Schizosaccharomyces pombe: one gene and its partners. The gene in region 1 interacts genetically with each later gene. Each region holds a gene or a part of one and is shown on either strand. Other genes may lie near its edges.

Region 1 (3,756 bases):
ATGGGTTTTCAGGTATTTTTGATTTACATTCTTTTACTTTAATTTAATAAAATCTTTTTATCACAGAATAAAGGTTGGACTAATATTCACAAAAGACAAAACATCTGTCTAGTACTTTTTCCGAAATATTATTGCAAAATAGATTTATTAAAAAGAGAAAACGAAAGAAATTTACAATAAAACCAAAAGCTTCTTAAGATGCAGAAGTATAAAAAGGTTGTAATGGCCAGTTTCACCTTTACTTGCTATCCACCAATGCGAAACTGTTCTCACAATTATTGAAATTATCCTAAGCGAAATTTTGACACTTTGGATAACAAAATAGATACTTCCCATTCCATTAATGGATTAAATAGCCAAAAAGAGAAACTCAGTGTAATAATAGTTGGAGTTGGGACATTAAATAATGCACATGATCGTTTAGCCCTGGTAGCATGGACGCATCGAAATCTAATGAAGAATCCCCTTCCAACTTAACTTTATATTTTGATAAAATGTTTTGCGCGTCCTCATCCTTTAAATCAGAATAATTTGCAGGATCCGCTAACCGTAGAATAGCCTTAGCCTCTCCTAAAATCTCTGAGTCCTTGTCGTAAATATCTTTGGAATTTGCCTTTTCGTAAAGATCTTTTAAGTCTATTTGTGTTTTTAGTTAGCAGCGGTTAAAACTAAAGCATTACAACACATGAATGTCTTACCTTTGATGGATCTCGTAAATTCCTTCACCTCAAAAAGCTGTTCTCGAACGGTGTGTCCTGCACTGTTTACCGTTTCGGGAATTATCAATGGACTATCGAATTTCACATTAAAGTCCTGCTCCCAATCTGAATCCGCATCGTCCGCAAATAAATCGCAACGAGATGAAAATCGAATATCCGATGAATCGTTATTTATATGAGTCGTTTGCGTATTGTCTTGAATGATAGGTTCCGACACTTTCGACGACTCTGGCGAAGTAGTCGATAACTCGTCCCAGCAAATACCATCCGAACTCTCATCTTCTTGCGTAGTCGCACCCAAAGAAGTTTCTTGGATTTGCTTAGCTAATTCATTTATCCGAAAGGAATCTGTCTCATTATCATCATGAAGCTCACCTTCAATAAATCCATTAACTGAAGGTAGTTCAGCACCTACACCACTAGCCTTGCTCCCTTTATTGGCCGAATTAAATTCATTACTTAACGCAGTTTTTTTACAGTTGCCTTTGTTTATCTCATTCGCCGTAAAGTGAGACAACGACGTACTGTCTGCACCTGAAGCGTTGCGTTGTACAGTACTTTTTGACTCAACTCCTATGAATGAAAAAATTCGTTTAGAAAATTTTCGGGAGTAACTTCTTAAGCTTTCAAATGCTGAGGGTTTCCTCCATGAGCCTTGATCTATGCATTCGGAGGTGTTAACTTCTTTCGGTAATCCAAGCTGTTTAGGGCGCCTCGGTGTAATATCTGAACCATAACTTTTCATGCCTTTCACATGCCTTCGTTGTAGAGTCACACCTTCAAAAGAATGACCCCTATTCTCTTCGAAAGTATCTGGAACCTCTGCCATATTGACAGAAGAATAGAAATATTCACTTAAATTTTGTTGACTGCCGTATACAACTCCCATTGACGAAATACTCGTAAATCTATATTTCTCTTAAGCTAAATTAAAGAAAGAATTATTGCCGTAGAGAAAAGACTGTACGCGTCAACCCATTCAAGTGTGTAAATAATGGTAGAAGGCACTTTCGTCAAGACCACGCTTTTGTTAGTAAACAAACGGTCGTCATGAGAACGACATAACGAATTTTGAACATGAATCTGTAAATGATTTATAAGGAAATACAAAGTTCTATAACATCAAAGAACGCAATTCGTTATGTTGTTTAAGCGCTATATAATTCTGATAAATACTTTATAACGCGTTAATCGTGGTTACGTTAAATAGGGCTTTGTAAAGATGGAATGCTAGCAGAGATAGACTAGGAAATGGAAAAGACTGTCTATTACAAGTTTTATTCATTAAAAATGTTCAACTTAAAATAAATAAGTTAGCCAAAAACTGAAAAGATGAATGACTCTACAAAGATTCAAAGCCACTGCTCGTTCATGAGCACAATGTTAGCATCAAAAGTTGCTATACGCCTTTCAACTTTCTTTACTTGCTTACGATAAACTCTTCAACTAACTCTGTTGATGCAGGGAAAACATTGTTTTCTTCTTTTCTTTCATTACATTGACTTAAAAGTCAAACTCTTTAAAACTAGTCAAATAATGTTTGCAGTTTAAAGCTACGTTTTTGAGAGCGTAAAGTGATGCAACCTTTAATCTCACAGTTAATATAAACATAGCGAATATAATAGGTTAATGGATCAATGATTAATAATAACTTTTACCTAGCAGAATTGTTTATTACTACAGACCATTTAACTTTTAGCAAAAGGAACTTCCTAATTCCTTACAAAAGTACGACTGGACAGTTACGGTTAACACAAATACGTTAGCTCTGAGCAAAAAAATTAATTCCACAAAGGTATACGCAGTAAATAAAAGTTCAATCCAAAATACAGATTGACATCCTCTATTCACTCATTTAGTTTTACCAAAAAACAAAAAAACGACAAACCTTCTAACCAAACTACAACACATTTATAAAAGTAATCACAGAACAGCTACACGAGGCTCAAAAGAAGAGTAAATATATGTAAATCAACCAAATCCAGCCTTTTATTTTGTGACCTAATGAATAAACAGCGTAGCCGAAAAAAAAAATCCTTTCTCAGCAAACACTAACACGACTCACAAAAAACCATATGGTGAGCAGCTATCAACCGGCACAGATAAAAGAAGCATTAAAAACATGGGCAAAGAAAAGCAGATAAATTAAGTTGCGGGAGGTTTGCCGGGTTGCGAGAAGAGCAATCACGGAGCGTTCCATATCTAGAACAAAGAGAAGAAAGGACTTTTGTATTTTTTAAATCAAGTCAGCAATGTTCATAGGCATTTCCTCAATGTGTGTATTGTAGAATTGTTCAATCTCACGCATCATGCGAACATCGTCGTTGGTAACAAAGTTAATGGAAACACCCTTACGACCGAAACGACCACCACGACCAATACGGTGAATGTAGTTTTCTCTGTTAGCAGGTAAGTCATAGTTGATAACCAAGGAGACTTGTTGGACATCGATACCACGAGCAAGAAGATCGGTGGTGATAAGAATACGAGAAGAACCAGTACGGAACTCATGCATCAAAGTATCACGTTGAGCTTGGTCCATATCACCGTGCATGGAGGAGACGGTAAAATCACGCTCAGTGAGCTGCTCGGTAAGCCAATCGACCTTTCTACGGGTATTACAGAAAATAACGGCTTGAGTAACAGTGACGGTTTCATAAAGATCGCAAAGAGTGTCAAGCTTCCACTCTTCCTTTTCAACGGCAACATAGAATTGCTTGATACCTTCCAAGGTAAGCTCATCTTTCTTAACAAGGATACGAATGGGATCACGCATAAATTTGGTGGTGACTTCCAAAACATCTTGAGGCATGGTGGCAGAAAGAAGAACAACTTGAGCAGTAGGAGGCAAAAGTTGGAAAATGTCGTAAATTTGGTCCTTGAAACCACGGGACAACATTTCATCAGCCTCATCAAGAACAAACATTTGGACGGCATCGGTAGGAAGAGCACGACGTTGAATCATGTCGTGAACACGACCTGGTGTACCAACAACAACGTGAACACCAGCTTGCAAGGCAGCCATATCATCACGAAC
Region 2 (3,756 bases), on another chromosome or scaffold:
AGTGTCCTCTGAAGAGTCTAAACAAATTCGGCTCTTTCCACCATGGTCTTTCGAGCTCCGATGAAAAAGTTCATTGGAGAGCTTCATAAAAGAAAAAGTGGTAGGGGGAACCACAATCACCAAAAATGACTAGGTCAAAAAAGAACTACAATAATATTTGAAGAATCAAGGCAAGCTAAGGCCAAATAGGAGTCAATTTCAATTGCAATCCAAGAAAGAGAAAGGTCAAAACTAAATGTTGCAGGATGGACAGTGCAACAAAAGAGAAAAGAGAGGTGAAAAAAGATAGAAAAAGGAATTGAGAAAGAAGAGTATAAAAAAAAAGAAAGAAATGCGAAGAGAAATTAATAAATGGAATAAAATAAGGGAAAATAAATTAAAATAGAACAAATTCAGTGTCAATGGAATTCAAAAAATGCAAACCAATCTCGTACGCCCTCAAAAAAAGCAATTTTATAGTAAGCCGGAATGAAAACGATTGATGCTTTCAAAGTTATGCGATGAACCAGAGAAACTCCCGTCCTCTATTAATAAAAGACTTTGACATAAAATTACGAATACAGAAAGAAAGAAAAAAAGAAAGAAAGAATTGTATCGCAATATCAATGCAACAGTCTGTTTATTCGGTTTGTGATGCCACAATAAAAGGGTTAGGGCGGAAGGAATAATATAGGATGATCTGATTGAAACAACCCAAAAAGGAAAGAAAGCTCCCAAGCGTTTCAGAGGAATCAAGTTTCGTAGGTTTATAGACAGAGAAAGAGAGAAAGCAAAAGCAGTATATTATGAAAGGTAATGACTTGATCAAAAAAACAACCTCTTCTAATGAAACGTTTGGGATAAATCAAAATCGATGCCTAAGAAAAGATTATAGGACTTTATGGTTTTTAAATATATGTGTAAATGTTAAATAACTTATAACCCACCACCAAGGGATCTTCGTGGACGGCGAGCGGAGTGGATAAGAAAATGGCTGGTTGTATGTTCGCGACGGAAGAACAAAATTGGTCTTTGACTAGCAAATTTTCCAAATTTAGATTACATGATTTAAACGATAAATAGGGCAAATAAAGTGTACAAAAAGATATTTGATCAATTTATATGATGTTGAGCACAAGCTGAATAGTAAACAATGCGAACGCAATTAAAATAAAATAAGTCAATACAGCATAGTCATAGAAATCGATCAATTGAGGTTATCCGGATTAAAGCTAATTATTTTAGATGATGTTTTTCATATTTGTAAATCGGTAATACAATTATGAGCTGGTCGGACAGAAAAAGTGAGCACATAAATTGCAGCAAGTAGAAAAGCAATAGGCAATATAAAGTAAAGGAGTTCATTCATGACTTCCCTTTTTATATAAGCGTTTTTTTTTTTAGTGGAAAGTCGACCAGGATGCAGTTGAATGTTGATATTAACTTTGTTAGGACTAGTGAAAATTCAGATTTGTACTTTTTTTTTAAGGAGTTCAAGACTTTTTTACTACATATTCAACATTGAAATCACCTTATCTATAGAAGAAGTAGATAAACTTAGCCCAAAACAGCATACTGATGACTTATAGCTTCTCATCCCTTCATAATATTAATGCGGTTTACTGCTGCTGTAACAATTCTTCTGATATATTAAGTATACGTATTTTTCCCTTCGAGGATAATCTTTTCTTAATATACCTGTTGCTCTCTCAAATTGCTAAGCAGACAAGTAAACAAATCAATTGTTTCATTGAACGAACCAGGACGGCTATATAAACTTATTATTATAATTTAAATCAAATTTTAAACATTCAACTCTGGAAACACTAACAAAAGCCTTTTTTTATGTCGCCTTTTAGCATGTGTTTCGAGTGGAAACCCTCCATGCAAAAGAAATTGAAGGTGAAAGCAATATACTAAAGCAAAACATTAATTCATCAAGCAATACGCAATTTACATATTAATGGTCTTTGATTTAGAAAATCGTATAAATTAGAATTTTTCATCATCTTACCGTTATAACGAGTTCGTAGCTACTTTCGCAGAAAGTTTGTGGTCAAATTATCTTGTCTTTTTCTCCACCACCAAACCCTCGTTTTCACGGGAAACATTCAGCATTGTCGATTCGATCGTCAAACTGATTGTTTTTATAGTAGCAATGGATTACCGGCATCCAAATGCACTCGGTGTGAATGAGAGCTCGCGTGCTTATGAGGAAATTTTTGGTGCTCCAAGAAAACGGGAGCCGGCGAGAACTGTAAGTACTCCTGCGTTCATGGAACCGGCTCCAGTCTCAAAAAAACCTCTTCCTCCTCCCACGCGAAGGCTTCCTCGGAAACCTTTGCCCTTTCGTTCCACGAGTTTGCAGCCTCCATCGTCTCAACCTCCTGCACCTCCAACTCATCAGAGAGAAGCATCTCCTGTGAAAAATATTGAGCACAGTGAATCTTTTCCTTCCGTTTTTGGTACTTCAAATAATCACCAGATCGTCCCATTGACTCTTAAAGACGGAAATGATTTTGGTGCTCTATATGCATCTTTAAACACCACACCCCATTTTCCTCAGGTATCGAATCATGCGCCCAATAACTCTAATTCCCCTTCTTTGACTTGGCACACATCATCCGGTGATGATTCCAACCAAAATCCTTTTTTCGTTCGGCGTCAGTCTCAGAGTAGCACGTCTCCGGTTTCGGATTCAGTAGATGAGAACCTCCTTTCAGCAGTCTCTTCTGTTACAGAGTCCGTAGAAACAAACCTTCATCTCGATCAAAATTATCCTTACGGCTCTCCTGTTCGTTCGTCTAAAAATCCCTTTCTCTCTTCAAATTCTCGATTACCAACTGATGATTCTTCTCACACTGTTGGTTCTCATTCATTTACTTCAGGAACTCACCCACCCATTGTTTCTTCTAATTCCGCCTTTACACTTCCCAATGCTGTTACTCCTGCAGCTCAAGCACCTCTCATACGTAGTGTTAGTGAATATCCTGCTAACGTTTCTCCACCTGCCCAGTCCCTTCAGCTACCAAAATCTACTAGCAATCCCGCGGATCTTCATTTAAGCATAGCTTCTGCTAGCAGCCATAAGAATATTTTTTCTGGGTTGGACGTCTTTTCTAATGTCTTTCATGGTCCCTCTACCACATTACGAGACAGAGAACATGATATGCGAAATCGCTCATTTGATCATTCTACCTTGGCTCATTATGAAGCAGTTAAGCAGCAGAGACTTGGTGTTGAACCTACTGCAAGGTCCTTTACGTTGAGCTCTTATAAGTCCCGTGCAAGTGGAAATTCCCTAATTAATGATCGAAGCTCTACAACAACGCCGACGTTTGTTAATTCGGAAGCTAGCTCGCCTGTTCATAAAAATAAACGAAGACGCAGAATATATGCTGCCTTACTTTCTCGTGTTGCCAGCGAATTGTTAGATAGACTACAGCTAGGTGATATCACGAAAGACGGTTTAATTTATTCTAATGCCTTTACTGGCGATCATGCAGTCACCGTGCTAATGGGTATTATACATACTTCTGATAGAAATCTCGCTTTACTTGTCGGACGCTCTTTAGATGCACAAAAATTTATTCATGATGTTACCTATGATCATCGTCTTCGTGATTCTCATCGTGAAATATATCAGCTTCAAGGTACTGGTTATCGCCCCTTCTTACGCGCAAATGATAATGCATCCATTAACAACAAAAACCATCATAAGGAATTGGAGGACAATGAGTCGGGCACTCGAATCTCACCGTCCACGTTAGGTGACAC
Region 3 (3,756 bases), on another chromosome or scaffold:
AAGGCAATACGTAGCAAGTAAATATATTGAGAAAGCCTGCTCACATACTCAAAAGACGGATGAGGTTCGTCGTTACTAACGTTGGATGATTCAGTATAACATAAATAACATTCTATTTGTTTCGTTTGGTTGTTCCAGCGCGCCCAATCGTAATTCTCCCGATTGTTGTATTTACATTTAGTACATGACAAACAGCCAATATGGCAGCGAATTTCACCCAGGAGAACACAGTCTTCCTCCAAGGCAGAATGACACACATAGCATAAATCGGAGCTGGCATTGGCCAAATTTAAAGGCATATCAAACGAAGAACTATCATATCCTTCTTGATCGACAAATCGAGCTTCTTCTACGGTCTGTAAAAACTGGGGAAGAGCATGCTTACAAGCATGATCTTGTTCTAGTCGTAAACCTCCCGTAAGCGATATCCGAATAAGTAACTTGAGGTAATGAGCTAAACCGGTAAAGAGTGATAAAAAGTCTTGAACAATAGCAACGTCGCGAATATCCGAATTATGGCATTTAGCAAGTAAAGCAAATATTGAAACTAGCTTCTTGCAAAGCAACTTAGCTTCACGAACATAAGGCATACTTTTAGCATGAAAACTTGAAAGTATAGTTTCTAGCGAATCAATGCCTTTAAAAAGTATCTCGATATAACGAATAAATTTTTGGGCACAAATAACACTTTTTGTGAATTCTCCATTTGAAACAAGGAGAAGCATATCACTGATACACGAAGCTGTATACTCCTCAAAATAAGAGAGTGCATGCCAAATATGAAATATTTTCTGTTCTAAATGTTTTTCCCGTTTGCGTAATTGTGATTGAGAAAGCTCAGAATCCTTCTTTTTAGAAGTTTCTATGGATGTCTTTTGACAAAGTTTAACATTCCAAAACTTGTAGATCATATGACAAGGAACGTGCCAATTTTGAGATACCCCATTTCTGTAAACTTCAACAAATTGCCTTAAAATTGGACCATCACAACCGCAACATCGTGCAGCGAAAAGTGTTGAATAATGATAATGACAATACACTTTGCCCTCATATTCATAGTAAGAATCATTCGGACCAAAAACAGTGTAACATAAGGAACAAGTGAAATGTTCTATATGAAATTTTTTATTCAAAGCTGTAATATAATAACCTCGAAGGGCCATTCCACAACTTGCACAAAGTAAGTCAAGCCGCCGAAAATAATCTGTTTCACATAAAGGCACTTGCTTGTTAAGAGTGGGATCATCAATAGGAAAAAATTTTGAAGCAACTAAAGAATTACAATCATGGCATCGAAAACATTCTAAGTGATATATATTTCCAAGAGCACGTACATATTGTCCGGATATAACTTGTCCACATGAAGCACATATCTTTGATGAAGAAACTTTCCTTACAGCCTTAGGAAATACAGAAGTATCTGATCGCTTTAGACTTTGCTGCTCCTCTTTATTAAGCAAACCAGATTGGGCTAATTGTTGCTGATTAGGCAACGCTTTTCGAGACTCAGCAGAGGTATGCCTCCGAGAAAGTGAGCTGCCACCCTCAGTACCAGCAACAGTGCTTGTATGTCGAGAATGGGGGAAATTCTTCGTTGTAGAATTCTCTTCTATCTTATTTTGACGGGAAGGAACAGGAATTCGTTTCGGTGGTGTTGGTGATACACCATTCGTTGTGTACAGCAACCCATCTTTTTTGGCGTCCCTTTGGGACATACTGTCCTTGCTGTTTGAACGAACCTTAGCTTCTATATTAAACGCCTTTATCACTTAATAAACCAGTATGACTAGTTAATCCTCTTTGGGATATTTCCGTTCGAAAATCACCCCCAAGAAAACCTTATGGGACTCAATTCCTTCAGTTTTTAAAAGAGTGAAATTAATAATATGTAAGACCTCAAATAACTAAGCCTATAGCTTTTGAAGCTATTTTTTTTCAGAGACTAACTATTGTTGCGGTATGTTGGTGGTTGTTGGTCCGACTTCCACCTAAGAGGAGACTGCACACCATGGAATCCAAGTCAGAAATGCTAAACTCCAGCTTGATATAGGGGCCAAAATAGACCCTAATTTTTATAGCGACTAAGACATGAAGTCATTTGGGAAACCGATTTCAGTACACACCCCGAAAATGACTTTAGATCTTCGTTTAGAGAATAATCTGTATTTTTGTTTTATCTCTCTTTAATGCTACACTTTATGCTCCTTTTGGATAGTTATTCTTAGGTGTAGGTTTAGGCACTGAATTTTACAACGACTATTATACTAGAGCTGCTCGCTGCTCATGCTAAGGCTTTTACACATTTACGAAGTCTATGTTATAACAAGAGTCCTTATAGATGTTTGAAATTATCATAGACAATATGAGTGACTTTGATTTTAACTACCTGTTCAAGTTTCCCAAAAAGTATTTAAGTACTTTCCCACTGTGTTTCCCAGACTACGTACGTCTTGCAAGTTCAGTAGGGTTGAATTCAGATAAAATAAATGGAGTTTATAAAAACTCAAATCACTTAATACATTATCTTAAAAATACATGCAGAATTTTTTATTTTTATTTCTGACAGTTGCTTCTATACTGAATTATCATAATATAACGATTATTTTTTTATGAGAAAAAGGAAACCAAAGGCATTCGAGCATTTTTGAGTAGTTTCATAACTGCTTTTTGTTTTGCTTAACTTGCATCATTTTGGCTTCTTCACAGACTGAACGCTAAGGTCCTATGTTGTGCTAATTCAGAGTTTACATCTTCTTTTACGACCCTTAGTTGCACAAACTTCCACACAATTGATTCGAATTCTGAATCCTTATTCGATTTGTTGCTTGAAGCTACTTTCGTCTGTAAAAAGTTGTGTATTATTATACTAACAATGGACCTCAAATCCTTTACAGCTTCAAAACTACTATTCGTCACTGAGTCATGAGCAAATTTCGTTAAAAAACTACGGGTATTTATTATCTCAGAAGAAATAGTTTACGAATTCATGAAGTAGATCAGCTTTATGAGTTACCGCGGTTAATAAGTTAAAGGATTAGCACTTAAGAAAAATCAAAGAGAAAATGAGCATTAATTTATGTAAGAAAATAATCAGAAATGATCAATTGTGATGGTTTGAGCAATAACAAGTGAAGGTTGTAAATTCAGTAAACAAACAATAGATATCTGTTCCAAGAGGTTAATCGAAACGGTTACTTACAAAAGATTTGTGGGTAAAGGCCTTTGATAAATGTATTAAAGTCGAATAATCATCATAAGCATTTATATTTCATGTAATGCAACAGAAAATTTTTTTATCTAAAAAATGAGAAGGAAATAAAGAAAAATAAAGAAGAAGCATAGAATGAAATGAACCACACTTTTATTGTTGTTAAATTACTTACAAAGAAAAAATGTCGTGCGCGTTATATATTGCAATCGTTTGTGGACTACTGGAATCCTTTTGAATTAATTCAATTGTAGGCATAACTTTTTTAATGGTTTATATAAATACGTAAAAGTGTTTAAATGAAAGATTGATGATGCTGCTTTTCATGCACCGCGTCGAAACGCCTGACCATTTAACAATCACAAGTCAACAGTATGATTTCAAGAAGCACTTTAACAATTTACCAAAATACTTATTTTAAAATTGAATATAATATTACTGATCTGGAACGTTGCAGGACACTAGGTGGTTGATTTGTTTACAGTTCGTGAACCACCTTTATATAATTATAAAATTTATCCTTTGCCCCAAAATATAATAATGCACAG

The links.
Region 2: of etd1 (region 1) and rgf1, extra expression of one rescues a mutant of the other (dosage rescue), as found in Schizosaccharomyces pombe (one study listed by BioGRID).
Region 3: of etd1 (region 1) and rga1, a mutation in one rescues a mutant of the other (synthetic rescue), as found in Schizosaccharomyces pombe (one study listed by BioGRID).

Annotation. Positions count from the first base shown.
Region 1 is NC_003424.3:5,085,941-5,089,696, reverse strand, and holds etd1 (Spg1-binding protein Etd1), read right to left. Parts: upstream 1,719-3,756; 5' UTR 1,609-1,718; coding exon 699-1,608; exon of another isoform or gene 637-698; coding exon 371-636; 3' UTR 59-370; downstream 1-58. Other genes in the region: translation initiation factor eIF4A Tif1, read right to left, coding at 2,956-3,756. UniProt on the Schizosaccharomyces pombe protein: Involved in septation.
Region 2 is NC_003421.2:1,243,126-1,246,881, forward strand, and holds the start of rgf1 (RhoGEF family guanine nucleotide exchange factor Rgf1), read left to right. Parts: upstream 1-2,060; 5' UTR 2,061-2,137; coding exon 2,138-3,756. Other genes in the region: RhoGEF for Rho1, Rgf3, read right to left, coding at 1-87. UniProt on the Schizosaccharomyces pombe protein: Stimulates the exchange of Rho1 and Rho5 GDP-bound form into GTP-bound form. Controls septum formation, cell wall synthesis and localization of F-actin patches. Coordinates actin deposition with cell wall biosynthesis during bipolar growth.
Region 3 is NC_003423.3:4,194,254-4,198,009, reverse strand, and holds the start of rga1 (Rho-type GTPase-activating protein Rga1), read right to left. Parts: upstream 1,964-3,756; 5' UTR 1,716-1,963; coding exon 1-1,715. UniProt on the Schizosaccharomyces pombe protein: GTPase-activating protein for Rho1. Involved in the F-actin patch localization, cell morphogenesis, regulation of septation, and cell wall synthesis.